4 linked regions of the Diceros bicornis minor genome follow. Each later gene encodes a partner of the first gene's protein in a complex. Links are inferred from orthologs where the notes say so. Each region holds a gene or a part of one and is shown on either strand. Other genes may lie near its edges. The genes, in order: CHTOP, SARNP, THOC6 and THOC2.

What was found.
Region 2: CHTOP (region 1) and SARNP share a complex: the UniProt entries of both Homo sapiens proteins name them as parts of the transcription/export (TREX) complex. The link is inferred for Diceros bicornis minor from reciprocal best matches to the Homo sapiens genes CHTOP and SARNP.
Region 3: CHTOP (region 1) and THOC6 share a complex: the UniProt entries of both Homo sapiens proteins name them as parts of the transcription/export (TREX) complex. The link is inferred for Diceros bicornis minor from reciprocal best matches to the Homo sapiens genes CHTOP and THOC6.
Region 4: CHTOP (region 1) and THOC2 share a complex: the UniProt entries of both Homo sapiens proteins name them as parts of the transcription/export (TREX) complex. The link is inferred for Diceros bicornis minor from reciprocal best matches to the Homo sapiens genes CHTOP and THOC2.

What each region holds. Positions count from the first base shown.
Region 1 is NC_080743.1:57,860,576-57,868,113, reverse strand, and holds the start of CHTOP (chromatin target of PRMT1 protein), read right to left. Parts: upstream 3,016-7,538; 5' UTR 2,725-3,015; intron 1,481-2,724; 5' UTR 1,464-1,480; coding exon 1,399-1,463; intron 61-1,398; coding exon 1-60. Other genes in the region: S100A1 (protein S100-A1), read right to left, coding at 4,395-4,538, 5,618-5,758. UniProt on the Homo sapiens protein: Plays an important role in the ligand-dependent activation of estrogen receptor target genes. May play a role in the silencing of fetal globin genes.
Region 2 is NC_080756.1:12,864,851-12,872,342, forward strand, and holds the start of SARNP (SAP domain-containing ribonucleoprotein), read left to right. Parts: upstream 1-4,491; 5' UTR 4,492-4,582; coding exon 4,583-4,618; intron 4,619-7,492. Other genes in the region: DNAJC14 (dnaJ homolog subfamily C member 14), read left to right, coding at 1-113, 196-298, 509-719; ORMDL2 (ORM1-like protein 2), read right to left, coding at 2,057-2,192, 2,780-2,931, 3,100-3,274, 4,168-4,301. UniProt on the Homo sapiens protein: Binds both single-stranded and double-stranded DNA with higher affinity for the single-stranded form. Specifically binds to scaffold/matrix attachment region DNA. Also binds single-stranded RNA. Enhances RNA unwinding activity of DDX39A.
Region 3 is NC_080765.1:45,503,558-45,510,417, reverse strand, and holds THOC6 (THO complex subunit 6 homolog), read left to right. Parts: upstream 1-3,850; 5' UTR 3,851-3,892; coding exon 3,893-3,931; intron 3,932-4,508; coding exon 4,509-4,624; intron 4,625-4,721; coding exon 4,722-4,786; intron 4,787-4,876; coding exon 4,877-4,980; intron 4,981-5,069; coding exon 5,070-5,107; intron 5,108-5,188; coding exon 5,189-5,237; intron 5,238-5,358; coding exon 5,359-5,430; intron 5,431-5,516; coding exon 5,517-5,619; intron 5,620-5,704; coding exon 5,705-5,754; intron 5,755-5,844; coding exon 5,845-5,907; intron 5,908-6,006; coding exon 6,007-6,117; intron 6,118-6,203; coding exon 6,204-6,338; intron 6,339-6,418; coding exon 6,419-6,499; 3' UTR 6,500-6,575; downstream 6,576-6,860. Other genes in the region: TNFRSF12A (tumor necrosis factor receptor superfamily member 12A), read left to right, coding at 1-16, 755-859, 1,107-1,241, 1,325-1,380; HCFC1R1 (host cell factor C1 regulator 1), read right to left, coding at 2,425-2,560, 2,785-2,913, 3,018-3,074, 3,391-3,485. UniProt on the Homo sapiens protein: Component of the THO subcomplex of the TREX complex which is thought to couple mRNA transcription, processing and nuclear export, and which specifically associates with spliced mRNA and not with unspliced pre-mRNA.
Region 4 is NC_080781.1:113,613,069-113,620,757, reverse strand, and holds the start of THOC2 (THO complex subunit 2), read left to right. Parts: upstream 1-4,680; 5' UTR 4,681-4,696; coding exon 4,697-4,767; intron 4,768-7,689. UniProt on the Homo sapiens protein: Component of the THO subcomplex of the TREX complex which is thought to couple mRNA transcription, processing and nuclear export, and which specifically associates with spliced mRNA and not with unspliced pre-mRNA.

The sequences.
Region 1 (7,538 bases):
TGCATCGAAGCCCGAATATTCACTGGCATCGGCTGTTTGTTCTTCAGCATATTAGTAAAGCTTCAAGGTCGAACAAAATGGATGTTTAAATAAAAGCTTTATTACAAAACATTTATTGGCATTTTCATGGCCTGCTAGACCAGGAGCTCCAGATCCCACGAACTTTTAAGTAAAGTGGTACACTTAGATCAAGGCTGATGTGGGTTAAAGACTCCTCTGCTTCCACAAACTTGCAAGAATCAGAAACTTAGAAATGCAGCTAAGTGCAGCACATTCAATCAAAAGTGATAACAAGGGCTCAGGTAACGGCTTTTAGAGAGATGGAAGGCATGAAAAACACGCAATAAGCAGATAAGATGACAACAAGAGACAGAAGATGTAGTTTCAAAGACAAAGAAAGAAAGCCAAAACCTTGGGGGACCTGAGGGAGTATTTTAAGGGCAAATATAAGGAAGGACTAGAGCACCTTCAAAGCCCACGGAAATAACACACTCATATATATTATGGGAGTGTATCACATTTTCTTATATATTTGTTCACTTAGTAACATGTGAACAGAGAATTAGTATATCATACCCTAAGAGTTAAGAAGCACATATGCCTCAGAAAAGGCAAAAATAAACACTGGGGAAATCTTTCAGGGGTCTAACATCAACTTAATAAAATCACTGGTCAAAGGTACTGAATGAACAAAGCTCCTGGAGATAGAAACTGCTGTTAAATACCTTAACTTTTCTTAGCCTCAAATGATTACTTTTTCTGACTCCAAATGATTACTTCTGAAAAAGTGTGATTCGTTCAATCATTTAAGAGCTTGTGAAGACATTCTTCTATTATTCCTGTCAAGGTAAGTTTAATGGAATGGAAGAGAAGAACACTTAATTGTGAAAGAATCCAAAACAAAAACAAACTTAAAGCAGAATGGAAAGAAAGTGAAATGGAGCAAAGCAAGTGCCTCTTACAAGGCCCAAGAATGACATTCCAGGGCCTTTGGACATATTCATAGCTTGCTACCTGCCTCTTACAGGCCAGACACAACACTGCTGGCCTTGGACTGGGCAGCAAGCCTACTGCAGCCAGGGTACCATGCTACCGAGCTGCACCACCCCTGTATCAACGTAAAAAAATGTGAAGAAAAGGGAGGGTGTGAGAAGTCTTTTTAAAATACATCCCACCAGATAAATATCTCAGACAGCTTAACATAAAAATCTACTGATGAGGGGTTTTGAAACAACCGCCCAATCTGTTTTGTGTACCACATAAGATGCAACTAAGAACAGAGGTCTGTAGCCTTCTGTTGGTATTTAGTTTAAAACCGGTTTTTGTGCAGTGGACCCCAAGGCCAATTTAAGTAATGTTTTCTTATGAACGAGCTGAAGTTGCCGTTGGCTGCCTCACCGCTCATTTAGAGACATCTTGGTGGTGCTTTTTAGCACAACTTTCGGCGCTGACTGTGCAGCCATCTTCAAATCCCGAGAATCTACAAAAGGACAATGGGCACAAAGAGCAAATCAGAATAACAACCACCTCATTTCTGCTAGGGCCAAAGGCCCACACTCACAATGAATGAAAAGGCTTGTATCAATGACTACTGAAGATCACACTCGAACTCATTTTGGGTGCTTAAATTTATAAGACAGTTACCGCAAACTAACAAACTTCAAGGCCACAGGACAGAAAATATGTGCCAAAGCCTCCAAAATGGCAGCCTTAGACCTAGCTAAAGGAAGTATAAGAGTTTGGCTTTTAATCTAGAGCAGTGCTTCTCAACCCTGCCTGCAAGGAGCTTTAAAAAAAAGATACAGGGCCACCCGTGGCTTAGCGGTTAAGTGCGTGCGCTCCACTACCAGCAGCCCGGGGTTCGGATCCCCACGCACCGCTTTTCCGGCCACGCTGAGGCCATGTCCCACACATACAGCAACTAGAAGGATGTGCAACTATGACATACAACTATGCACTGAGGCTTTGGGGAAAATAAAAGGAGAAGGATTGGCAATAGATGTTAGCTCAGAGCCGGTCTTCCTCAGCAAAAAGAGGAGGATTAGCACAGATGTTAGCTCAGCTCAGGGCTGATCTTCCACACACACACACACACACACACAAAATACAGAAGCCTGGCCTCAAACCAATTAAACCACAGTCTCTGGTGGTGAGGTCTGCGGATCAGCAACTGGAAAGAAAAAAAAAAAGCGGAATTCCTAGGCGCTTCTCACGTGCAGCCAAATTGAGAACCACTCGTCTAGAAAGATGATACAGGCATAACTAGTTTCAACCTGGCTTTCGACTCCCAAGTAGGGCCTTAGCAAGGGACTAGGGACCCGGGGGAGGGAGTAGGAAAGGTTTCCTAAAGGGGCATTCACCTGGGAGTTAGCTCCCAGAGCGCGCTCTATAAAATGTAACCCTACCGCCCCCATTACTTCCCAACCTTCCCTGAATCCTGTTGTCCTCATTTCATCTCCCTGCCATCTCAAAGCCCTGTCAACACGGCCAAGTTTGCTCCATCTTCCTTCCCAGCCCTATCAAACGCCAACCTTTTCCCTCAGCCCCGCCACCAGTCTCCAGCGCGGGCGCTCCCCCGCCTCCGCGCAGGGGCTCCGCCCCCTCCCCGGGCCCCCGCACTCCGACACCCTATCTGCTTCCACATGCCGTCGCCTTCCGTGCCGCGTCCGCCGGCCCCTTCCGCTCCCCAAGACTTCTCCCCTCCTTCTCACCACAAACACGTACCGAAGGAAACAGACGCCAGTGCTCCTCCCGGGGCTGCCACCACGGCTGCGGCGGGCGGGCCGGGGGCCGGCCGAACCTGAGCAGACGGTGGAGGGGCTCGGCTTCACTTGTGGGCGGTTGGTCAGGTGTGTAAGCGGTAGACTGCTAAGTTAGTTCGTTGTTGCTGGCTGGCTGTCTGGTCGGCCGGTCCGTCTGCTCGCCCGGCCTGCCCTTGCCTGCCTTTCGTCGGTGCCACCACAGCCGCTGCCGCCAACTCCCGCTCGTTGTCCAAAACAAAATGGCCGCCACGCCCAGTGCGGAGTGGGACCGGCTAAAATGGCGCCGACGCAATTACGTCAGGCGTCCGGTCCGCACACGACTAGGGAGCGGGAAGATTTGTGCTACGCCTGCGCAGAGATGGGGGCGGAGCCCTAGTGAGAAGGCGGGGCTTTAGCAAAGGCCCTGTCTGAGGTACACCCCGTGCCCCGCCCACAAAGGGGCGTGGCCAATGGCCTGCCCTTGGGTCTTGCGAAGGGTTCGCTTTCGAGGCAGGGTTGTTCGAGATCTGGGCGGCTCAGAGCGGATTTGGTCCTGATGAAAAAGGTTTACGTGTTTCTTCACTCTCTTTCCGGTTCCCCAAGCCAAGGCAGACCGTCTAAAATTCTTTACGCGGGGCTTTCCTCGGTCTCTTCCTTACCACCGGGCCGAGTAATGAGCGCTGGCTCTCCTCTCGTCATCATTCGCCCTGTTCAGAGTTGTGGAGTGTCATAAACGGCCCAGCCACAGCCTGGGGCCGGTGCTGGGAGCACACGTCTACTGGAGCCTGTGCCAGTCACCACACGCCCTCCGTATTTTCCTCTTCACTTCCCTCCCCAAGTTGGCCTGAATATTGTTAAATCCTTATTTGGGGGGGACCTTTGTGTGCCTGCATCCCCTTGCATGTCCTCCCTCCCCATCTGCCATCCATGCTGAATTTTGATGCAGACCTATACAGGATTTTTCTTATGCCTGGGTGCACAATAAAATGCTCAAATGTTTGAAGAATGAGTAAATCAGCACATCTTCGACCCTTCCTCCCCCCCATACAGGCACTTCAGGATCCTTTCATTTTCTTTCCTAGCATTTTCCTGTGTGTGTTTAATGGTCTAGCATCCTTCCACCTTACTTTACCTAGGTGAGGGTAATGGTCGCGTTTTGTTCACTGCTGTATCCCCAGTTCCTACACAATGTCTAGTACATGGTAGGTCCTCAGGAACTATTCTTTCAAGGTTAAAGGGAAATTCTTTCTTTTTCTGTCTTATAGCTGAGAAGCTGACATCTCCTGTACTTCCAGCTGGAACTTTGAACCCCTACCTTCCTGGGCCATGAGCATTCCTCAAGTAGGAAGGTGTAATGGTCCCTTGATCTCTCTCCAAATAAGACCCCCCCCCCCCAATAAGGCAAGCTGGGATTGAGCAGCCTTCACTTCCCCACTCACTTGCAGACCCCATAGGAGACAGACAGCAGCTGGTGAGAGAGGAGCCTTTAATGAAACATGAGTTGCAGGCCTGGCCCACTACTCTTGCGCCCTTGTTGGAGGAGGGGCAAGGGTGGGAGTGTGGGGAGGGGAAAGTGGGGTGAGGGGGAAGCAGGGCAAAGGGGCAGGTATGGCAGGGTGGAGGGGAAGGGCGCTGCCCACTGGGGCTGTCTGCTCAACTGTTCTCCCAGAAGAAGTTGTTACAGGCCACTGTGAGGGCAGCCACCAGCACCACATACTCCTGGAAGTCCACCTCCCCATCTCCATTCTCGTCTAGCTCCTTCATCACCTTGTCCACGGCATCCGTATCCTTCTGGGCCTGTGGAGGGAAGAGATGGAGAGGTAGGTGTATAGGGAGATGAATAGCACTGAGTCAGGGGCAAGGGAGGTGGCTGATTGGGGAGAAGGAGGCAGAGATGAACAAGAGGGACTAATTATGGGACTCTTCTGCTCCCCTCCTCAAAACTAACAAAACACATGTGGCCTCCTGTTGCCTACAGAATAAGCTCCTTAACAAGGCAGAGTAACAATAACAACGTCAAGTACCGTATGTTGAGTGCCTACAATGCCACAAGCACTACACTAGGAGCTTTACAAGCATTGTCTAATTTAATTCTAACACAAATAGTATGAAGTAGGTTTCATTATTCCCATTCTAGAGAAGAAACAAATTGACAGTTGGTGGTTAAATGATGTGCCCAAAGTCACACAGCTAGAAAGTGGCAGGGCCAGAATTTGAACCCACGTCTAATAAAACCTCAAAGCTGGTACACTTTCTATTGGCTTCTCCTTTACTATATATAGCATGCTGCATATTCTTCTTTCTCCTATGCTTTTGTTCATGCAGTTACTTCCTCCTAAAATACCTACATTTACCTTAATAACCTTGCGATGGAAATCCATAGCTCAAGTGCCACCTCTTTGGAGAAGCTGTCCTACTTTAGTCAGGTTAATATTCTCCCATAAGCCTTTCTGGCACTTCTGTTCAGGCTTTGCGTACTTCCTGAGTGGCTGGCCCAAGGCTTCAGAGGGAGGAAGGTCTCACTGCCTCTGAGCTTCCTGTCAGCAGACTGGGGGCCTCTTTTGGTCCTTCAACTCTGTTCTTTCCTGAATATGTCACTTCCTGGTGTTCATGGTTTACTTCCAAGTGTCAGTCTTTCCCTTCTAGACTGTGAGCCTTGTTATCGATGCATCTACATAGAGTCTAGCACTTTTAACAGGTGACCAATAAATCGGCATTTTGACTTAGGGGAGCCTGGAAAAACCCAGGAGAGAAGCCTGGGAGAGGAAGGAGATGGTTGGTCTGAGCTGGGGTGGGGTGGGGAGATGGCAGAGAGGTGCCCACTCTGTTCCCCCACCCCTTGCCCATTCCACCCCATACCCCCACTCTGTGCTCACGTCCAGGAAGCCAGAGAGCTCGGTCTGCAGCAGCTCTTTCAGCTCCTTCTTGCTCAGCTTGTACTTGTCCCCCTCCTTGCCCGAGTGGGCGTGGAACACATTGATGAGAGTCTCCATCGCCGTCTCCAGCTCAGAGCCCATTGCGCAGCTCACCTACCCACCCCCACCATGGAAGTGAGCTGAGGACCAAGCTCAGGGTATCTGTGGTCCAGTAGAGGGGAGCCCTTAGCCATGGCCCTGGTCCCATAGCTCGAATAGCCATGAGATCAGAGCTCCACTGAAATTTATCCTTCACTGAGATTTTACGATGTGGGAGAACCCAACAGACCTAAATCCAGACCTGTATTCTGTGTCCCTCAATCCATACCCCAGCAAGAGGGAGTCAGGGTTTGGGGCATGGAGGTAGAGCAGCTGGAGATGGGCTGGCTCTGGAGGCCTGCAGAGGAGTCTGCAGTGGCTCTTGGCTGCCTGGGCAGACACTGAGGAGGGTGGGGCAGGCAGGCGGGGGTGGTCACAGGACCTGGCCAGGCTTCCTCTGGCTCTGTTATTATGCTGGACCTTGCCTGCCTAGCACAGCCAAGCTCTGCTGTTGGCAGTGATGGCTGGGCTCCCCTTTATAGCCTTGTCTCTTTTGCCCATCCCTAGCAAGGAGTCAGTCTGGTGCCCTCGGTCAGCCTGATGGAGAGGGTGGCAGCCTGAGTGTCTGGCCCCAGGTTTCATGAGGACGGGGGTGGGGCGGGTCTCACTGCCTCTGAACTTCGTGTCAGCAGACTGGGGGCCTCTTTTGGTCCTTCAAGTCTGTTCTCTCCTGAACATGTTACGTTGGCTTCCCTGGGGTTCACCTCTACTACTTCTAGTTTTGTTCCTTTTACTTCTCTGCAGAATCAGCCCTTCCATCGGGTGGTGGTGGGAAGGGAGAGAGGAATGTCTGAGCCTTTTCCCTGGAGTCAGGGCTCCCAGGAAGGGGGAGAGGAATCCTGTGGGACTTGTCCCTGCTGCTGGCCACTCCCACCCCCAGCCTGACCTAATTGATGTGGGGACAGTGGCAGCAGGGAGAATGGGCTAAAATGTATTGAGGGAGATAAAGGGCTGAGTGCACGGGTCCTCTGAGTTCAAGGGGCTGCGAGAGAAGAGAAAAATGGAAGGGTCTGTTGAGGAGGAGGGACTGCCAAGCAGGGGCCTCTTTGCCTTGGCCTTGGGACAATCAGCCCCTCCATGGTCTCAGGGGGCAGCTCAGGTGTCTCAGATCAGGTGTCCCCATCCTTCCCCAGGCCTGATGGGCTGGACAATGGGCCCTGATCAGATGACATCCCAGCTCTTCAATGGGGCCCTTGTGAGTGTCACCTGAACTCCGGATATGAGAAGCAGTTGTCACAGAGACATGGGGGAGATGGAACCCAAGCTGGGCTGATGGCGGGGATAAGGGGGGTATGTGAAGGAGGGGTGCTGGTGGCTAAGTTATCGGCCCCATCCAGGATGGGCACCTCAAGGTTGCCTGGAGCCCTTGAGCAGCCTGGGATTTTGTGTAGGGGCCATTCTGAAAGGACTTGGGCAGGGAGGGGACAGATGGGAAAGCAAAGAGGAAAGAATTGAGGGGAAGAAGAATCTGGAGGTCTGGGCCAAGGAAGAGGAGGAGGAGAAAGGGGACTCACGTGAAGGGAGGGTTGGGGTTGGGTACAGTATCCTAGTGCCCCCTCTTCCTGATATCACACGGTCCATGCTCTGCCCTCCCCCCCCAGACTTCCCTGGAACCTGAGCTCTTGGCAAGGCTGGGTGGGGGTGGCAGAGAGACCGAGGCTGAAGCAGGGGTGGGCAGAAGCAGCTGTTCCATCTGCTTTCTTATTCTTACCCCACTGGAAGTGAGGCGAGGGCTGGGTCCCCTGCCAGCCTCAGGGAGATTGAGGGAACCTTGGGAGGACAC
Region 2 (7,492 bases), on another chromosome or scaffold:
GTGTAATAGGCTGCATCCTGCTGAGGAAGGAGACTTTTGGGCAGAGTCAAGCATGTTGGGCCTCAAGATCACCTACTTTGCGCTGATGGATGGAAAAGTGTATGACATCACAGGTACGCATCTGTCCCCTAGACATATGGGCTCATAAATGCTCAAAACTGTGATGTTTTGGCTAATTATTTCTCATGCTTGCAGAGTGGGCTGGATGCCAGCGTGTGGGAATCTCCCCAGATACTCACAGAGTCCCCTATCACATCTCATTTGGTTCTCGGATTCCAGGCACCAGTGGGCGGCAGAGGTAGGTGGTATTTCTTTCAATAATCTATCTACTATTCTAGTTCTGAATATGGTTTCAGATAACATGCTGTTTAGGACACCTAGATGTCTCACCCTTTAAGAAGTTTGGCAACTAACCCAGTAGATCTTTAACTTAGGTATAAATAGATAACATAGGAAACCATATGACTCTTAATATCTCGTCTCATTATTCTTTCTGTTTTCCTCTCAGAGCCACCCCAGATGCCCCTCCTGCTGACCTTCAGGATTTCTTGAGCCGGATCTTTCAAGTACCCCCAGGCCAGATGTCTAACGGAAACTTCTTTGCAGCTCCTCAGCCTGGCCCTGGGGCCACTGCAGCCTCCAAGCCCAACAGCACAGTACCCAAGGGAGAAGCCAAACCGAAGCGGCGGAAGAAAGTGAGGAGGCCCTTCCAACGTTGACACCCCGTCTCTTCTTTCCTCAGATCAATGTCAGGGAGTCAAAAGGGCTGTGTACAGCACAGGATGGAGTTTGATTTGTTTATTTTTAAATATTTAAAAAAGGGAAAATTTTAAGCTCAAATTGTTCACTCAGTACTTGTAGGAAGCCCTGGAACCACTCTCCCTCCTCCACCAGCACCCAGGAACTGAATCTTGTCTTCTGACAATACCAAAGAAATAGGGGGTGTCTAGAGCAAAGAATCGAGGGCCTGGGCCTGGGCTGGACAGTATTCCCCATAGTGGTGTGGGAACCGGGTATTTCCCTAGGGTCTGTATGCCTTTGTCTTGTCTTTTGCTTCCAGAGCAGATGACTTTTTCTCCTCTTTTTAAACTATCTTAGTTCTTGACCCATTTCAGAAGGGAGCCCCCTCCTTTACTCCAGTATACTAGATAAAAGACAGAACAAGAAAGCATGTAGCCCTAATTATAGGAGATATTTAGAGTTCAGAGAGTGGGAACTCTGAATTTTTCCTCTGACTTTCACCATTGTGGGTCATCACCCAACTTCATGCTTGTTGCTGCAGGGATGGCCAAAACTAGTAATTTTTAAAAAGCGACTCATGCCCTTTGCCCTTGGGTGAGGGGGAAGGATAAAGGGGCTCCCAGCGGCACCCTTATGATCCAAGGGTTTGTATTTTTTTAAGTTTGTTCATATTTGTATGTACATATCTATTTAAAGCCAGGGGATTATCTTTCTATAAATATATAACTGGCAACCTGTATCTTCCCTCTCTTCTTTGCCCATATAGCTGGAGCCCTTTTTCTCATTTGAGAATCCTTTCTCTACTAAGTGTTAGCTGCGCGTGAAGGGCACCTCCTACTGGACCAAGGGAGAGGGGATAAAAAAATACCTTAAAGAAGTTTTGTACAGTAAATCACTGTTCCATCTTTCTTCCCCAGCCTCATGAGGACATCTTCCTACCCTTCCTGCTGACCAAACTGTAGCCATATCTGAAAAAAAATGATCTTTATTATAAGGAACATACATAGCAGAACAGAGCTAGAAGGTAGTGGGGGTGGAAGCTATGGAAAAACTTAATTACCAAACAAAGCTGCCCAAACATGGCTTCCTGCTGTGGATGAGAATGATTTGGTCCTTACCTCACCTGCCTTTCCTGATTCAAAGAAACCTGTTCCTACCAGGGCTTGGCCCAGGGAGCTGCATTTTCCAATCTATTCTCTTCTTGGGAGTTTGGGAAAGGTTGTATAGTTCTGAGGCTTTCAAGACATAGAAGACAGTATGGAGAAGGGAAGGATGTCGCAGTCCTTTGTTCCAACGTCGTCCCCAGCCCCATCCCTCAGTATTTGTTGATGCCAAAGAGACGAACCCCATGGAACTGGGGCAACTTAGGCAGCAGTACGCTGAGCAATGAGGCTGTGTTGATGAGGAAGTGAACAGCATCATGCGTGGTGTAGAAGCTGGCCAGGAGGTAGCTGGGGAGAGAAGAAATAGGTTGAGTGAAGTTGGCCTCCCCTATCCATATTCATGCCTTTCCAGTGACTTTCTCTTCTATTTTAAATGAAATAGTCCTAGGATGTCTGAAATAGTCCAGCTCTAGTAACAGTATTTACTTTGGGGTTGGGGAGATAATCAAATAGCACCTTTAACTGGAGATTTATAAGTTAGTTTGTGTGTGTTTTAATTGTTAATGACATGTGGCAAATGACAGCTGAAGCAGTTTTAGCCTATATGACTGTTAGAGTCCTCTTTGCTTCCACTCCCCACTGTTAGTTTTTACAGATTTACATCAGTTCTACCTTTATTTATTCACTTCTTTTGGAAGTGTAAAATTATTTGGTTTTACTTGGTATTTTATCTTTTCTCAGTCCCCTACCACTAAGGAGGCAGCAAGGGATGCTTGAGTACTGTATTCTACTTTTTACTACTCTCTCTAGATTTAGACCTAGTATACCATAATATCTTCAAAGGGTCTGAATGAGTAGTCTGCTTTTCTAAAGCTTCCCTGTGGGCCTTTGTACCTGGCTCTTGGAGCATCTCCCATATCTCCCCCTGGACTCACAGTACAATAGGAGAGATGCTGAGGAATTTGCGGGAAGAGGTAAATTGGAGCCCGTAGTCCATCTGTTCCCAGTATGTCAGTAGCCGAGCCTTTCCTTGGTCAGGAGTTTCAAAGGGTGTCCCTTTCACAGTATGTAGGAAGATATACATAGCCTGGGAGGAGGGAAGGGGGCAGTGTGAGGGGGCAGAAAGTAGTCCTTCAGCCAAAGAATTATGCTAAGATCCCAAAAGGAAGACATAAATCCCCAAATAATTGATGATTTTATTGTTTTTGGTTTGGAAAGGCCTGGGGTGGGTAAAAGGGCATGGTTTAGTGCTCACCAAGTTATGGATGACGTTGGTCAGGGTCCAGACAACAGGAATGCTGAAGAAAGGGATGCTGAGTAGAACCACATGCAGCAGTCCTACCAAGATGATGTAGGCCAGCCAGATGCCCCGGCTATTCATCACTCGAGTGTTGGGGTTTACTTCGCTGTGTGCCACCCCCACATTCATCCTACCACAGTAGGGGATCAGACAGGAGTCCAACTCAATTTCCTCTCAACCCCTCTTTGAGTTTGTTCCCGAAGTTGTCTTCTGAATAGCCAAAATCCCTTGAACTCTATTAGAATGAAAGAACTTCCCCATCATGCACAAAGGAAAAACTGAAGACTTGGGGGAAAAAACTTAAAAGGCACGAAGAGTCCTCTCTGCATTTTAGAGACATATAATGGTAATTTTTACTCTGATCCTTACACTTCAACTGTAACTTGAAGGAGTAAGCCTAAGCTTGGGGCACCTGCTTCAAGGAGCAAGGGAAACATTAGTATCTCACTTTACTTTCCTGAAGACGTTAATAAGAAATCATGAGAGGTTACATACACCCAGAATTCCAGAAGAGGGTCATGGGAAACAATGAATCATTACGGAGGAGAAAGAAGGGTAAAGCTACTTCTAATCCCCACCTTTTCCTCAGGGGCTTGCCGGTTCTGTCAACCTCTTGGCACGTAAGCAGCCAGCACCCCAATTCCTTCTCTCAAGCCTGGGGCGCTGCCAGACTTTGACCAAGGCTTTTGGATAGGATGAGACCTAAGCTCAGCGTCTCGAGAGATGGAGCCCTAGCCCCGACTTCAGGGGCGGCTCTGGTCGTCTGAACTTGGCCCGTTGATGATGCCTAGTAAGAAGCAGCTCTTATCCGCCCCTCTCTACCTGAAATTCCCTGAATCCTAGTATTGAACCCGCCCTGTGCTCCTCCCAGCTTCCCTCTCTCGTTCGTTGGCTCCCCTCCGGGCTCTCTTCAGCGCTCTTCTCTCGGTATTTAACTCGCCGCCGCTCCACTCACCGCCCCCTCCCCTTTTGCCTCCCACCGTTTTTCTCGGCACCCCGTTCCAGTCTCCCGGCAGCCCCTACCTGCCTGCTTCAGAAGCCCGTCCAGCCTGGGGCGCAGGGCTCGCTTCCACACCTGCGATCTCCAGGAAGCAGCCGCCCTCGCCCATCTGCACTCTCCCGATTGGTGGAGCAGAATCAGCGCTGCTGCCACCCATTGGCTGGCGGTCTGCATTGGAGACGCACAATTGGTCGCCACTTAAGTCGTTCAGAAAGTGCAGAAGCCGCCCTCCACCCTGTCCCACCTTCAGAGACAGGAGGGGAGAGCTGCTTAGAGGAGTGAGAGCGACGCCAGCTGTTGACTAACGGGGAGAGTTGATGGTCCGAGGTGGGAGTAAGAGTGGCAGCGATTGGTCGGCCGTGGCTGGCTGCGCCCAGGCGGGAGCTCCGGGAGGCGGAGGCAGCGGGTGGGGGCCTGGCGGAGTGGAGGGGTAACAAGATGGCGACGGAGACGGTGGAGCTGCACAAGCTAAAGGTAGCGGGAACGGGGAAGGGCTGAGCTGGGCTCTCTGGGGACTGAATTCTGCTGGTGGCTTGCGCCTTTTCCTACATGTTCTCTTTACCGGCTTTTCCACTTCGTTTGCCGGCTCCCCTCGTAGTTCTTTTCTTTTGTGCCTCCTATCTTTCCCATACGCCTTGCCTAATTTCCCATTTCTTCTCACGGCTGTCTGGCGTTATTCCGGCTCCCTTCCTCATCGTTGTGTCGTCCGTTTCCTTTCCCCACCGGCTGGTGTAAGCGCCTTCAACCTGTTATCCTTCCTCCTCGTTTCTCCTCGAAGCTGCATTACGTCAGTGGTCCGCTCCTCTTCGCCCCACGCCGGACCTAGCACCCCTTTTTCTTCCCTGGCTTGATGCTCCCCTGTCTGTCGTCCGAAGCTGAGATTCCCGTTAGCAGGTGGTGGCACCTTTGTGTTTTCCGTCTGTCTAGGTCTCAAACGTGATCCAGAAAATGCTTCCACTCCTTTTTTTAGGTGGGGTTACGCCCCCGGGGCGAACTTTGAAACCTGAGGAGAAGCCTCCGAAGATAGGCCTCCGCGTGGAAGCCTGGGTTTCGGAGACCTTAGAGTTAGTGAAGGCACGGATCCCGCAGACCGAAAAGTTTTCGCGTTCTCTCACGCGGTTCTCTTCCCGCCAGCCTCCCCCCGCCCCCGCCCCCGCATCCCCTACCCGAGGGACAACTCGCTCAGAGCTGGGATGTTTTGGAAAAGCACTTCCGAGGTTAGGGTTATCTCTGTCCCGTTTCATATCGGGGATGGACCTTGCCTCTGTTCGTGTCTCCGCTGGGTGCCACTCTCCACCACAGAAGCTGTTTTAAGTTGTGTCTTTTGGGAATCTTGGTAGTTTTCTCACATTTAGTTGATTATTTTCCTGGAAGAAAAGAGTAGTTTCTTTTAGGGTGAATTGAGAATATCTTGATTAGTTGTCCATTTGTGGTTTCACAAGTAGTTTTCCCATCAGGTGTTTTGGTCACATCGTTCTGGGAACCTTGGATAAACCAGGCTGATTTAGCGGAATCCGAAAACTGATCCTTTAAAAAAAAAAAAAGTGTGAGAGTAAGGATAGGGAGAGCTTCTTTTAGTCACTTATTGGTTGACACCAATTAGCCTTTCTGTGAAAGCTAATGGATTTCTTATGCTTGGATTCTAAAGTATACTAGTGGGTTTTTGTGTTATCCTGGAGTTACTGTCAATTTAGCGGTACTGAAATGTGTAGATTATATCGGTAGTGTCGTAATATCACGATAAGTAAAAAAAATTGAGCAGTCACCTCCATTATATGTATAGTACTTACTTATATAAATTATGTACTGCCATACTGTTATGTATGTTATGAAAGATGTACAGAAAAGGAATTTTTGAATGAATGAGATAAAAAGGAAATATGAATAGAAGATCTAATGTTTTCTTCCGATTAGTCCCATTTTTGAAGCTCCTGAAGTTAAGTCATCAGCCTTGTGACTTGCGTTTGTGGATTTTTGTATTGGTTTATGGAGTTCCTTCTTCCATGAAACCTGTGTTTGTCAGGTCTATATTAAATTTGATTTTGGTTGGATAATGTCCTTTGACCTGATTTCAGGTATTATAGACTGAAAGAGCATGAGGCACTCCTGACAGCCTGAAAAGGATTCACTCTTTTAATCACATTTGCTTGTCTTTGCTTTTTCTCTAGAACACTTCTTAACCTTTTGGAGGTCACAGATATCTTTGAAACTCTGATGAAAGGTATGGACCCTCTGCCCAGAAAAAAGCATGTACACATACTTTGCATGCGATTTGAGGGGCTTCATAAAACTACCTTATAGCCCTGAGGAGTCCATGGACCTCCGGTTAAGAACCCATGCCTTTCATTCTAACTTCCAGGACAGTTAATGTTTGGTTCCACTGTTGATCTTGATGGAGTGATCCTGACTTTTGGGTTGACTTAGGGTTTTATCTCTTTTTTAAAAAGTCTTTCCATTTTTACTAGGAGAATTTGGGGCTTTAGTAGGGTTCTCAGAGGAAAGGAACAAGCTTTGAAGTAGGAAGGAAAAATATTTTCTATCTGAATTGATATGTAAGTTCACGTCAACTGCAAATTTCTGATGATTCTGTAGAAATGCAGTCGTTCTAACACAGTTGGAAAGAGACTGAATTGTGGGTGAAAATTCCTTGAACTGCAATAGTACCAGATCTCCAGTCAATGGTGAGCAAAGGGGCTACTGCAGGGGCTGGCCCCATGGTGTAGTGGTTAAGATCACCTGCTTTGGCGGCCTGGGCACGGACCTGCACAACACCACTCATCAAGCCATGCTGTGGCAGCCTCCCATGTACAAAATAGAGGAGGATTGGCACAGATGTTAGCTCAGGGACAATCTTCCTCAAGCAGAAAGAGGAAGATTGGCAATGGATGTTAGCTCAGGGCCAATCTCCCTCACCAAAAAAAAAAAAGAAGAAGAAAAGGACTACTGCAAGGAGAGAACGACAAGGTCAAAGTGTCAGAACTAGTGTCAGAGTGTTTAGAACAATGAGACATTTGTAATATTGAAGCGTAACGCGTATATGTTACTGGTTGAAGATGGAAAGGAAAGTCGGTGAACTGTGTGACTATAAAGGTAGATTGGAGTGATATTGAAAAGGGCCCTTTAAGTTGTGTAAGGTGTTTAGTGTTTGTCATGTAGGCAGAAGATGGGGAGCCTTTGGAAATTTGAAAGGAGGAGCTGATATGATCAGTTTTGTGTTCTTTTGGCAGTACCGAGAATGGGGTCTGGAGAGGGAGAGATTTCACCGGTTAGATTTTTTTTTTTTTTTAATTTTATTTATTTATTTTTTTCCCCCAAAGCCCCCGTAGATAGTTGCATGTCATAGATGCA
Region 3 (6,860 bases), on another chromosome or scaffold:
GGGGAGCCGGTGCCAGGTACGCCTGGCGGGGGCGGGGGCCGGGCGGGAGGGCGTGGGGGCCGGAACCCCCAGCTCGGGATAGGGAGGTCGCCATTGGGGGCCTAGAGGAGGGGGCAGCACTGGGGTGACTGGGCGGACGTGGGGATCGAGGGTCAGGTGGTCTCCAGACATTGCGCTCCCTCGCCAGGGGAAGTCCCATCCCGCTTCGAGCTTCATCCACGATTCAGGCCTGTTTTCCCGCCTCTCTAACTCGGGGGGCTTCTGTCCTGAAAGTCCGGACTCGGAAGTGGAGAAAAAGTTTAGGGCGGGATGTTTCCTCCGGTGAGGGGGCACGCCCCCAGCCAGGTCAACACCGGGTCTACCCAGCTCCAGTGACCTAAGAGTCGGGAGGGGTGTCGAGAGCCTCGGGGGTCTGTGCCCCCTATACCATGTGGGGTGCCCCCTTCCATCCGGTGACTTCAGTGCCCAGCTATGCGGGGGGAGGGGACCGGGGTCGGGCCCGGTGCCCGGGAGTGAGTCACCCGCCGGCGGCAGGGGGGGTTGTGGGGACCTGATCCCCCTCCACCCCCCCGCGTCCCGCGCTACGCCCCCTCCCTCCGCGCCGCCGTGTCCCGGTCGAGGCGTGCGGTCACCTGTGAGGAATGCGGGGGGAGGGCGCCGGTGACTCACGTTATTCGAGCCGGCCGACCCTGACCTCAGCCCCCAGAATAGCCGCGCCCCGCCCCCAGCCTCTGACCCGCGGCCCCCTCCCCAGGCACCACCCCCTGCTCTCGCGGCAGCTCCTGGAGCGCGGACCTCGACAAGTGCATGGACTGCGCGTCTTGCCCGGCGCGACCGCACAGCGACTTCTGCCTGGGCTGTGAGTGGGGGGCGGGGCCAGAGGCGAGCGGACCCCTGACTGGGGGTGGGGGTGCTGGGGTGGAGAGGGAAGCAGTGAGCTTCAGATCTGGGAAATTAATGGCGGGGGCGAGGACGCGGGAGGCGGGAGTAGGGAAGGGATTCGGATCAGGGTGGGGGCCACGGTGGGGGAAAGGCTTCAGGCTCAGGTCTAGGGGGCGGGGCTGGGCCGGAGAGGGGTAAGGTCTGACTTCGAGTCCCGCCCCCAGGCGCTGCGGCCCCTCCGGCCTCCTTCCGGCTGCTGTGGCCCATCTTGGGGGGCGCTCTGAGCCTGGCCCTCGTGCTGGGCCTGCTTTCCGGCTTCTTGGTCTGGAGACGGTGCCGCAGGAGAGAGAAGTTTACCAGTGAGTGTGCCCAGCCCGCCCGCCGCCTCCATAACTCCCCAACCTCTCCTCTGCTCTTGACCACCCTTCTGCTTGTCTTGCAGCCCCCATCGAGGAGACCGGCGGGGAGGGCTGTCCTGGCGTGGCGCTGATCCAGTGACAGTGAGCGCCCCTTGCCAGCAGGAGGCCCCACCTACTCATCATTCATTCATTCATTCATTCATTCTGGAGCCAGCCCCTACCTCCCAGACACACAGCCAGAGCCAGCCAGGCTGTTCCAACCACAGGGGTGTGGAAGGATGGGGTTCGGGTGAATCACTGCTCTGAGGTCTGGGCCCAGGCTTCCGAGGAGACTTCCAAGGTGTCTGACTGCCCTGTCTCTGGCTCCAGAACAGAAAAGGAGACCCACGCTGGCTCACACCAGACAGCTGACACTAAGGAACTGCAGCATTTGCACAAGGGGGTCCCTCTCCCCGCCATGGCCTGGGGGCCAGGCTGACCTGAGGGACAGACACAACACCAGGCCCCACCCACTCAGATGTACTGAAATTCCACCACGGGGTCTCACCCTGGGGGGTTAGGGACCTGTTCCTAACACTAGGGGGCTGGCCCTCTAGGGGGGGCTGGCCCTAAGACACTGCCCCCAAATCCCCAAAGGGGGGGGGATATTTATTTTGGGGAGAAAGTTTGGAGGGGAGGGAGAATTTATTAATAAAAGAATCTTTAACTTTAAATGGTTCGGAGAGTGTCCTGATCCCCAGCCCGACTTCCCAGAGCTGGCGGGAGCAGTGAGTCAGCCGCGGGGGCGGGGGTGAGGCTCTGACTCACACATTCTCAATGCCTGAGCCCAGCCTGCCAGGACCTGGCCCGGGCCCTGACCGTTTTCCAGGGAAGATCTTGAGGAGAAATCCCAGCATCCAGCGCCCCAGCCCTCCCCCTCTTCCCAAAGGCCCCAGGTTCCAGACTGAAACCTTTATTTGCTCAGCAATCTTTATTCAGTTCTCCTGTGGGTGGGGTGGGGGGGGGGGAATGCCTCCCTTCCCAGGTTCCTGCCCCTCCCACCCCAGGCTCTGTGGGCACAGTGTCCTCCTCTGTTAGGGGAAGGTCATGGAGGAAAAGCAGGGCAGCTGGTCCCTTCGTGGGGGTGCTGGTCTCCCTGTCGTGGGGAAGAAGGAAGGTGGGCAGGGGCAGTGCCCACCAGCACTCAGAGCTCCATTATGTCCCCAGCTGGGGTTGCAGGGTAGTGGGAGGTGGGGGTGTCCCCCAGCCTCAGCAGCCGGAGGGCCTCAGGGATCAGGTTCCCAGGGTAGCGCCAGAGAAGCAGCTCAGAGCAAGGGCTCCTGGAAGAGGAATGGACAGTCAGGGCACAGGGCTGAGGCTGGCCTGGCAGAGCCATCCCCCACCAGGGGCTCCTGCTGTAGGCACCTTCCAAGAAGCCAAGATGGGAAACAGAAGTTGGCTAGAAGCTAAAAATAGCAGGATGAGGCAGGGCCTGGAGGTTAGCTCCCAGGAGCGGGTATGATCCTCCAGAAGACCCAGCCCCTGGATGGTGGATAGTGCCTACCTGAGTGGGGGCAGAGCTGGGAGGAAAGCCATGGGGGGGCTGCAATAAGGGTGGTCATTGTGCAGGCTGAGTCGAGAGAAGTGGGTGGCCATGTTCTCCTCGGACAGGAACTGCTTGCGCAGGGGTTCCCTAGAGAGAGACAGGGAGGCAAGCAGGGTGGGATATTCAGAGGGGAGGCAGTCTGATGGGGACCTGAGGTCTTGTTGGGAGTCCCTCCCTGCCCCCAAACTCACTGCTCCTCCTCCAGGCGCCGCTTGGTGCTCATGGGCACGGCTCCTCGGAGAGGGGAGCTGGGAAGAAAAGAGAACCAGGTGCACCCCACCCTCTTGGCCCCATCCCGAGGATCTGCCTGCCTGAGCCTGCAGGGTCAGCCAGGAGCCTCCAGCACATCCCTGTCTTAGCTGACACCTAAGTCACCCCTCTCTCCCTGGCCATCCAGCAGCCTGCCGCGGAAGTCTCAGTCTCGAGCCTCCAACCCTGTCTTAGCTCATGTACAAGCCCTGCCGACTCGCCCCATCGCGTGTCACCCTGCAGACCTCCCCTGAGCCCCCAGCCAAAGCTCTTGCACTCCTGGGCCAGGCCCAGCCAGGGCCCCTCCACACACACCTCGTGTCCACGCCTCGGGGCGACCCCGAGGCAGCCCGCGGATCGCGCTGGGCCCGACCCAGGGGGCCTCGCTCCAGGGGCTGCTGCAGGATCATTGGGGTTCGGGGTCCCGAGGGCAGGGGTGGGATCCAGGCGACAGGGGCGGAGCCTCTAAGGGCGTGGCCCAACGCGAGGGGCGCGGCCGTAGGCGCGCGCAGCGGGGAGGTTCCGCGCAGGCGCGAAAGACGGGCGGCGCGTGGCTGGAAGGCGGATCTGCTCGGCAGGGTGGGGGAGGGGATCCGGCTCAGGGGGGGCTGCGGTGGGCGCTACTTAGTGTCGAGGATCTTCGCGGCGGTCACCTCAGTTCCTGGGGCTCGGGTTAGTACGCGGCGGCCGCCTTCGCGCCGGGCCTGCCAGCGGTCTTGGAGAGGTGGGGTGCCGCGAAGCGGAGCGGATCGCGGGCACGTCCGGACTCGTGAGGTTGCGTCGCGCGCGGAGCACTCTGGGACTTGTAGTTCTCGTGATGGAGCGAGCTGTGCCGCAGGCGGTGCCTCTCGGTCAGGTGAGGCGGGCGTGGTTGCGCAGTGTCTTCTGGGCTTTGTAGTCCATGCCCGGCTCGGAAGGGGGGGGCGAGGAGTCGTGCCCTGAGTCCTGTTTTGGGTGGGCTCTGGGCTGGGACTCGGACTCTGACGCGGGGGTGGGAGAATCACCCAGACATCCTTAAAAGGACTAACATGAAAGTCGGAGGATAGGGATTGTAAGCATGTTTTTCTGTATTGGGGTAATAGAGCCACTTTTTAAGCGCTTTCTACGAGCCACCCCTGTGTGAAACTCTGTGTACAGTACCTCATCCAATCTGACAGAATGTCCTGTGAGGTCCATTTGACAGTTGAGGAAATTTGGACGAGAGGCTGGGTGCTTGCTCAAGGTCCTATAGGCATCACGCCTCAACTCTACTCGCCTCGCCCTCTTCTTGGAGCCACCCCTGGGACTGTGAGGGCAGGTGCCCACTTGGTGGGCCGCCTCAACGGAGGGCTGAGAAGTCTGTGCAGTGGGAAGCTGGACTGGCGGCAGGGGAAGCAGGAAGGAGTCTGTGGATTGGAGGTCCCAGATGGTCTTCATCCAGCCTCTCCCTACAGGTGGAAGTGTTTCAGGCCCTGCAGCGGCTGCACATGACCATTTTCTCCCAGAGTGTGTCACCCTGCGGGAAGTTCCTTGCCGCCGGCAATAATTACGGGCAGATAGCCATCTTCAGGTACCCTTGGCCCTGCTCCCCACCACCCATTAGCTCTGGCACCTGGCCCTCCTGTACTGATGCCCCCTGCTTCTGACCCTCTCCGCTCTCCCTTCAGCTTGTCTGCTGCTTTGAGCTCCGAGGCCAAAGAGGAAAGTAAGAAGCCCGTGGTGACCTTCCAAGGTGGGTGCAGCCATTGAGTCTGGCTTCGGGGACCCCAGCGTGGAGGAGGGGAGCAGGACAGGGTCACTCAGGGTCTGCGTTTCCATTTAGCCCATGATGGGCCCGTCTACAGCATGGTCTCCACTGATCGGCAGCTGCTCAGCGCTGGGGATGGGGAGGTGAAGTCCTGGCTTTGGGTGGAGATCCTCAAGAAGGTAAGGAGCGTGGGGCTGGGGGAAGTGCTGGGGCGCCCAGCCCCAGAGAGAGAGAACCTTTGAAGTCACCCAGTGTTTCCTCCACCAAGGGCTGTAAGGAGCTGTGGCGTCGTCAGCCCCCATACAGGTGAGCCAGGGCCATGTGGGCAGGGGCATGTGGGGGTGAAGGTACCCTTCAGCAGAGCTGACGCCACTTTCCCTCCCCCAGGACCAGCCTGGAAGTGCCTGAGATCAATGCTTTGCTTCTTGTCCCCAAGGTTTGAGCCCTTTGTGACTGGGGCTCTGCCCTGCCCTCTTCTTGGCCCAATCTTTGATCCTTCCCCTCTCCCTGTCCTGATTTGACATTGACTTCCGACCCCACCTCGCCTTCCTCTGCAGGAGAATTCCCTCATCCTGGCGGGGGGAGACTGTCAATTGCATACGATGGACCTTGAGACGGGGGCCTTCACGGTGAGATGGCCACGGAGCTGGGGTGGTCAGGGCAGCACCGGGCCTTCTTCCCAGATCTTGTCCCGACACTGGCCCTCTCCCTGTAGCGGGCCCTCCGGGGCCACACGGACTACATCCACTGCCTGGCACTGCGGGAGCGGAGCCCCGAGGTGCTGTCAGGGGGCGAGGATGGAGCTGTGCGACTTTGGGGTAAGGGAACGTCTGGTTGGAGGGAAAGACGGTGGTGAGGGAGACTGGGGCAAGTAGGATGCCTCTCATGGTTCTTCCCTCACAGACCTTCGCACGGCCAAGGAGGTCCAGACGATCGAGGTCTATAAGCACGAGGTGAGGGCACACTGCACGCGTCCTCCCTTCCTTCTCCCTGGGCATCCCCTGCGTCTTCACCTCCTCCTTTCTTCCCCTGCTCCCTCCCAGGAGTGCTCGAGGCCCCACAATGGGCGCTGGATCGGATGTTTGGCAACTGACTCAGACTGGATGGTGAGCCGGGCAGAGGGCAGGATGGGGAGGCAGCTCTGGGCCCTGCCAGCTGAGGGCCTGTGGCTCACAGTGGCTGGGGACCCCCACCTTTCTGTCCAGGTCTGTGGAGGGGGCCCAGCACTTACTCTGTGGCACCTCCGATCCTCCACACCCACCACCATCTTCCCTATGCGGGCTCCACAGAAGCACGTCACCTTCTACCAGGACCTGGTGAGGCCCTCTGTCTTGCTTATGCCACCCCTGTCTGGCTCTCCTCTCCAGCCCTGAACGCTGATCCCCCTCCCTGCCCCCCACAGATTCTGTCAGCTGGCCAGGGCCGCTGCGTCAACCAGTGGCAACTGAGCGGGGAGCTCAAGGCCCAGGTGCCTGGCTCCTCCCCAGGGCTACTCAGCCTCAGCCTCAACCAGCAGCCAGCAGCCCCTGAGTGCAAGGTGGGTCCGGCAAGGGGCTATGGGGAGCCTGGGAGGCCAGGGCAGTGTGGGCAGGTCAGTCAGCCCCACCTTGCCTCCAGGTCCTGACAGCTGCGGGCAACAGCTGCCGGGTGGATGTCTTCACCAATCTGGGCTACCGCGCCTTCTCCCTGTCCTTCTGATCTCCCTCGGCAGTCTCCCATTCCAGGGATTTGCAGTGTTTTTATTTCTTTTTTTACAAATAAAATTTCAGGCTTTTGTTCCATGTGCTTTCTTCCCAAGAATGGAGGCCAGGTCGGTGTAATGATTTATATATTACTCTGTCTGATCTTGATACATAAATACCCACCCCCATCCCTGTCGTAGAGCATGCCAGGGGGCCTAGTGCTTAGAAAAGATAGACCTATGTAGATTAGAAAAATAGACAGCTCTGCCCCACCTGCTCCCGCCACCACCTGGGGCGCCTGGTCCCCAAAGCTGGCCCCTGCTCCCAGTGAGCCCCTGCCCAGCCTCCTGGGGCGGGGAGGGCACCAGCCCCCTTTG
Region 4 (7,689 bases), on another chromosome or scaffold:
CTTTTTGTATGTGAGCTGCCACCACAGCATGGCCACTGACAGACAGTGGTGTAGGTCTGTGCCCGGAAACTGAACCCAGGCCACTGAAGTGGAGCACACCGAACTTAACCAATAGGCCACCGGGGCTGGCCCCCTCTCTTCTTTTTTATAATCTGTCTTGCTAGAAGTTTGTCAGTTTTATTAGACTTTTCAACCAACCAAATTTTGGTTTTATTAATCTTTATTAATCTTTTCTATTGGACATTTTCCTTTTCATTAATATTTACTATTTAAAAATGTCCTTATTTCTGCTTTCTTTCATTTACTCTGTTATTGTTTTTGTAACTTCTTAAATTGGATGCTTACCTTTTTTCATTTCCAGCCTTGTTTCTTTAATAATACAAAGATTTAGGGACATAAATTTCTTTCTAAATGCCACTTTGGCTGCAACTCATCATTTTTTTCATTAGTTTTGATATGGAATATTTTCATTATTGTTCTGTTCTAAGTATTTTCTAATTTTTAGTATGACTTTTTTCTTTGACCTGTGATTTATTGCAAAGTATATTTTAAATTTTCCAAACACAGGTTTTTTTTTTTTTTTTTTGTCTTTTTGTATTGGTTTCCAATTTAATTGCATTGTGGTCAGAAAATGTGAGCTGTGTGAGACTGATTTTTTGAAATTTGTTGACATCCGCGCTTTTTTAACCTAGTATGTGATTAACTTTCATAAATGTTCCATGTGCTGGACCACCATTAGATAATGCCTTGCTCTTATGTGAATTAGGAGAATGTGCCCTTTCTTCCAGGTGTATGCAGCACCACACCAGAACACGTGGTTTGGCAAGTAGAGTGTGGGATGGATTTTGGCCCCTGCTTGTCCCCTTGGCTAGGTGCTTTTGATCAGTGAACAGTCTGTCCATGGAGGCCCGTTCACGTGTTCTTGTAAAGAATGCTTATTTTCCAGTTGCTAGGTACAGTGTTCTATGTATATCTACTAGATCAAACTTGTTCATTTGATGTTCAAATTTTCTACATCTTTACTGAGTTTTTTGTCTGCTTCATCTATCAATTTCTGAGAGAGATGAATTAAAGACTCTCACTGTGGTAGTGGATTTGTCTATCTCTCCTTGTATTTCTGTTAATTTTTGCTTCACATATTTCAAAGTGGTTGAGTACATTCAAGATTAGGATTATTACATTTTCCTGGTGAGCTGAAATTTTTATCAATATATGGTAACCCTCTTTAAATGTAGTAATTATTTTTTTCCCTTAAAGTCTATTTTGTCGGATATTAACCTAGCTATAACAGCTTGTATTTGCCTGGTGTATTTTCCCCATCATTTTTACTTTCAAACTTTCTGTGTCCCTGTGTTTTAGGGATGTCTCTTAAAAATAGCTAGACTTCTTCAATCTAGACTGATAATTTTTACTTTTTTTTTTGTGAGGAGGACTAGCCCTGAGCTAACATCCATTGCCAATCCTCCTCTTTTTGCTGAGGAAGACTGGCCCTGAGCTAACATCCATGCCCATCTTCCTCTACTTTATATGGGATGCTGCCACAGCATGGCCTGACAAGCGGTGCATCGGTGCACCCCTGGGATCCAAACCTGCAAATCCCAGGTCACCGAAGCAGAGCACGTGCACTTAACGGCTTGCGCCACTGGGCCGGCCCACAATTTTTACTTTTAACTGGGGCATTTAGTTCATTTACATTTTATGCAATTATTGATATATTTAAGTTTAAATCTACCATCTTCCTCTAATCTCTCTGTCCTGCTTTTCCAAAGTTTTTTTCCTCCTTTCTTGCCTTTTTTGGATTGATTGATATTTTTCTCTTTCTCTCTTTCAATTTTTTTCCCCTCTGGTAGTTTGGAAGATATATAATATCCTTTTATGTTTGTAGTGGTTATCCCAGAAAATTTAATATGCATATTTAACATAATTAAGTCTTTAGTTAATAAAAATCCATTACCAATACTCAGTATTCCAGGGGACAGTCCCACAAAGGGCAAAGCTTTTGCATTCATTCTTCGATTATTTTACTATTTTGTCTTGTTTTGCCCTTATGTGCTTCCTTCTTGGTCCTGTTATCTGTTTTCACTCAGATGGTAACAAGACTGACCTTACAATTACCTAAAATCAACCTATCTATGCATCAGACTGTCAACACTGAAACTACCCAATCCCTAGCCTTCATCAGAGACTTCATTTCCTGCCTAGTTCATCAGTAGCCATGAACCAGTGAGATCACCAGAGAATAGTACTCCCAGCTGCTGAGATGATACCAGATGCTGATAGCAAAGAAAAGGCAAGTCAACAACAAGGATGCAAAAGACATGATAGCTTTGCAATCTTATAGAGCAAAAAGCCAATTAGCGCTGAGGAATTCCTAAAGGAGTCATCATGCCATGTAAAATTAGTTCTGCAGGCTCCAGGAGAAGGGAAAACCAAGGCCTCAAAGGGCATCACTGCAGTCAGGTCACACCACATTTGTGGCATACTGAGTAGTATGCATACTGCACACAACTCAGTGTTTGGGAGGAGAAATCACTGTGATGCAGTGGCAAGGTAAGCCACAATACAGTAGAATATTGTATAGCTCAGTGGCTCTCAACAGGGGGCTATTTTGCACTCCAGGAGACATTTAGCAATGTCTCAAGACATTGTGACAACTGGTGCGGGGGGTGCTACTGACATCTAGTGTGTTGAGGCCAAGATGCTGCTAAGCTGCCCTCCGCAAAGAATTATCTGGCCCCAAATATGAATAGTTCCCACGACTGTAGATAATGCAGTGAAGTATACATAAGCAGCAAGATAGTGCTTCTTGTATCACAGAAGCCATCTTGTAATAATGATTTCAAAAATTTTTAGGGAAGGTGTTGGTACAATGAGGATTCAGTACACCATTCTGTTCACTTTTGAAATATTCCATAATAAAGAAAAATGAAAAGATCAGAGGGCACTCATATCTCTGAACCTCCTTGAAATGGCAAAAGGTTTTTATGAGCAGATATCATTGAAACTGAACGGTGTATATTTTTTAATGGGTGGCTTTAGAATTTCAAAATCAGACAGGACATTAGGAGATTAGATATAGCTGATGAAAAACAATCATAAACAACGTAGCATTTTCCCAGAACTTATTCTGAATATAGCCTACCCCATGAACAGTTTTTCAAAGCAAATGAACTTGGCCCATTTGGCAAAATTTACCAAATTTAGAAGATACTAGTTCTAAAGTTCATATGTTAATATATGTGTAGTAAGATTTTTTTCATTTGGTTTGTCTCTCTTTTCTAAATTTTCTGCCAAACATGTATTTTTAAAACCTTTTTATTTTGAAAAGTTGCACAAATACAACAGAGAAGCCCTGTATGTCCTTCACCTAGATTCCTAAAATGTTAATATGTTACATTTTCTTAATCATCCTATGTTTTTTTCCTGAAACATTTTAGAGTAAGTTGCAACATAATGCCTCATTATCTCTTAACACTTCAGTGGGTGTTTTCTTAAACAAGGACTTTCTCTCACATAACCACAGTACAAATGTTAGACTCAAGAAATTAACATTGATACAATGTTATTACTTAATCTATAGATACTCAAATTTGGTCAATTGTCCCAATAATGCCCTTTTTAGCAAAAGAAAAATGTTTTTTCTGGCTGGGGATCAGTTGTCCTATCTGTTGTTTTCCATTAATCTGGAAGAGTTCCTCAGTCTGTCTTTGTCTTTAGTGACCTTGACGATTCTGAAGAGTGCAAGCTGGTAATCTCGTAGACTGTCCCTCAATATGGGTTTGTCTGATGTTCCCTCATGATTAAATACAGGTTATGTGAATTTTGGCACGATGAACAGTACTACAAATTTGGTTAGTGTCTTTCTTAGCACCTTATCAGGAGGCACATGATGCCCATGTGTCTAATTTCTGGGGATGCTTATTTTCATCATAATTAGGACAGTGTCCGCCATGTTTTCCCACTGTCAAGTTTCTATTTCACCCTTTGAAATAGTTTCTTGTCGGGAGATACTTTGAGACTGTGTAATGTAAACAATTTGTTTCTCATGTACTTGCGCCCCCTAGTTTTGCCTAAGGTTACAACGACAGTGGCAGACACAGTAGCTCAGCACACAGCACTGGTGGCTGCCAGTGTTTTCCAGGGATGATTTTTCTCTTCCTCGTTAGACTGTAGCCCTTGTACTAGCTTAAGGCCTGGCCCATAGTAAATGCCTGCTTCTTCTCGATTAATTTTTTTTATCTCAGCAGTTAGCAGGGCGTATTGTAATTGATCTGCTTATATATTTGTCTTTCCCACAGACTGTGAGCTCGTTGAGGGTAGGCATCGTGGCTTATCGTTTCTCTATCCCCAATGTCTAGCACATACTAGGGGCTTGAAAATCCATGTTTGAATTAGTGCCTGGAGGAGATACTATGGAAGAAGATAGGAGCTAGGAGTCGGCCTGGGGATGGCATTTTTCCTGTTCTAAAGGGAAGCGAGGGCAAGGGTTGCAGAGGGCGCGGCCTGCGTGGGGACCCACGGGTCTCGGCCACCTCGTTGGCGGCAGGGCCTCGGGCTTCCGCGGGGTGGGGACGAAAGTGGGGCGGGAAATCGAAAACCGAACTCGCAGCTCCCGGCATTCCCCGTGGGCGGTGCTCCCCTTTGACCCCTCGCTCGCGTGCTACACATCCGGGCCTCTGCTACTAGTGAGAGGAAGATGGCGGCCGCAACGGTGTTGGTTCCCGTAGAGTGGATAAAGAATTGGGAGAAATCAGGGAGAGGCGAATTGTGAGTGTCCGGGCTGGAGGCGGGCGCACGGTCGGGCCAGGCCCAGGCGTCAGCCGCGCTCTCACACGTGGGGGGTGGTTGGGGGGGAAAGAGGTGCCCCCTCCCCCATCCGGGCGGCGGTTGTGGATGTGGCTAGGAGTTTCGAACTCGGGGAGGAGAGGTGCTCGTAACCGCCGCCGACCTCCTTCCTTCCCTGGCCTCCCCGAAATCCCCGCCGCCCGCCGTAGCCTGCCATCCTTGAGCCTCTTTGCAGAACTCCCGTTTCGCCCCTGCGGGTCCCCGCGCTCCCGCTCGGTCTCTTTTTGTCCCCCTCTTCGCTTGAGCTCACTTGGCTCCTTTCTCTTTACGGGGCCGCGCCGGGGGGGTTCGGACTTGCCATCTCTCTCTGTCCCATTTCTTCACTCTGCACCCGTTCGACTCCGCAGTTTGGAGCCCGGCGCCTCCTCTGCCCGAAGTCCGAGGAGGGCGAACCGTCCCGGACTCCCTCCCCTCCTCTCCGCCCGCCGCCGCGAAGCCCCGGGCGTCGCGAAGAGCCCCGCTTGGCACCTCTCGTCCTCCCGGGGAGCGGTCTCTCGGACGGTCCCGGCCTCGCGCGGCGCCGCTGGCCGTGGGAGAAGTGTAGCAGGGATTGCCGCTTTCCCCGAAGACCTACCAGCATTTCTTTGCTCCGTCTTTCCACCTTAGAGCCATTTCGGGTTGGATTCAACTTTCGTCATTAAATGTTTCCTAAACCCCATTTTGTCCTGGGACTGCAACTAATTTTGGCAACTCTCCAAGGTTCTCGAGTACCTAGAATAACGCGTTTCCTTCAGTCACAAAACTTGTTTTTATTTTTCAGTAATACAGAAAACAGTAATTTGCCATACCCGCGGTTTCCTCGCCCCAAATTTCAGCGCTCATTCTCTCGGAAAGGAAAAAAAAACGTTTAAGCAGTAATACAAATAACTTATTTAAAAACAAATAACTTATTTCTAATTTCCTTTTCTGAATCGCTTTATTAGCTAAAGCTCAACCCTGTTTGAATTTAAACTCGTTAGCCGTTTTCGCCGTTGCTCCCCTCCCTCCCCCACAAGTAGTCAGTTTACGGTTGCTGATGCGAAAAATAACAAATCATTGGAACTTCGTTACTTGGAATGCCACGCGGGGAACGTGTAACTTTGCCAGCCTATATGACCCCCCTCTCCCCCGCACTCGCGCTGCTTTAGGAAGTCTTAACAGTGTGAGCTCTAGAATTGGATTGCCTGGGTAAGCGGCAGTCTTAGCCACTTAACTGGCTGAGTGACCTTGGGTAAGTTCTTTAACCAATTTGACCGCTTCCCCTTGAGTAAATTGGGAATAATAAGTACTCAAAGGACTGTTGTGAAGACTAAATAATGCTTGTAGAGCACTTGGCTTATAGTAAGTGCTCAAGTGATAGCTATTAAAAGGAATATTATTATTTCAATCTTTTGATATTTAAACTTCTCAGGACAGCTCTTGCGCTTAAAAAGTGTCCCACTCAGGTTAGCAATTAATTGGTCTCTGACTCTTTCATGTATACTCTTGTACTCTAACGAATTGAGAGATCCTTGAAGAGTGGGGACTATGTCTCATATTTCTTTTGGCTCACCCCCCCTCCCCCCAGCCTTTCTAGCATATGCTTGGAGTGCTTACTGGTTTATTAACTGACAGAGAAGTATATTTGATAAACATTCATTTTTAACTGTTAGGAGCATTTTCCAAATCCTTGTACGTGCTAGTTAACAAATAGCTATTAAGTCCCTTGTGTCTAGGGAAGGCAAGGTGGTAAGTTACGAAACCAAACCATCGTCTTCGTCTGTATTAGATTAGGATAACTCCAAAAAACTGATAAATCAGTTCACTGTTGTTTTGTTTACTTTTAAAGCCAACTTAGTTATTTAGGGACTGTCATCTTTGTAGATTGCTCAGCTAACTGTTTTTGACAGTTTTACTATTATTACTCTCACTTTAGAATGAGTATCAGGGCTAGGAGGTGAAATTCTGCTTGACTTCTGACTGGCAGTGGTTGGAGAAAAACAAAGTGATGTAGGAGCTTGAAATACCTTAGTAAAAATGGAATTTTGGGTTCACTTTATGTATATTTACAAGACCCGTGCTTACAAGATCCATGCTTTATCCATACATAAAGTATACATAATATACTTTATTTATATTTACAAGATCCATGGAACTATGATCCATCATAGTTCCTGTGTTTGAAGAGCTGCTTCAAAACTGTTATTAGGACTTATACATGTGTAGTTAGTGCATGGCTTGTGGAATGTAGTTTGAATTATAGTAGATCCAAATCAGTATAGTCAGATTTATAGTTGTGTTCTGTTGTATGAAGAGAGTTTAAAGTTGTTAGTTGTGTGACATAATGAAGTATTTTAAGTAGTCAAACACATCACCATCAAGTACTTAGTCTTCATTTATTTGATCTCTTTTCTCTCCTTGAAAACTTGGTTGCATATAGTCTAACTTTGGAGTTTTTGTATCTTGCTAAAGATAGATGTTAGCATTTTCATTTTTTTAGAACAAATGGTGTTGTAAATATATTACAAAATATCCTTTCCTTTGTCTGAAAACAGACCCTCTTAAATATAAACCAGCAACAGGAAATGTTAAAAACGAAGGTGATGTGCCACTAAATTATTAGTGAATCCATTTATAGATTTGCCTTTTAGAATATGACCAATATTTAAAATTATATCTTCGGTGGATTTTTCCTTTTTAATGAGATAAATTAGCAGATGAGCTTTAACTTGACTGAAACTTACCTTTTTTAAAAAAATGCATGATATGTTTCATGAGGTTGTGAGTTCATTTCTTGTCTGTCACTTCTTACCAGTGTAAGTGAGTATTCTGGAAGTTGTAGTCTACTTCAGCATAGTAGTGTTAAAGCGACATATGAGATGTATG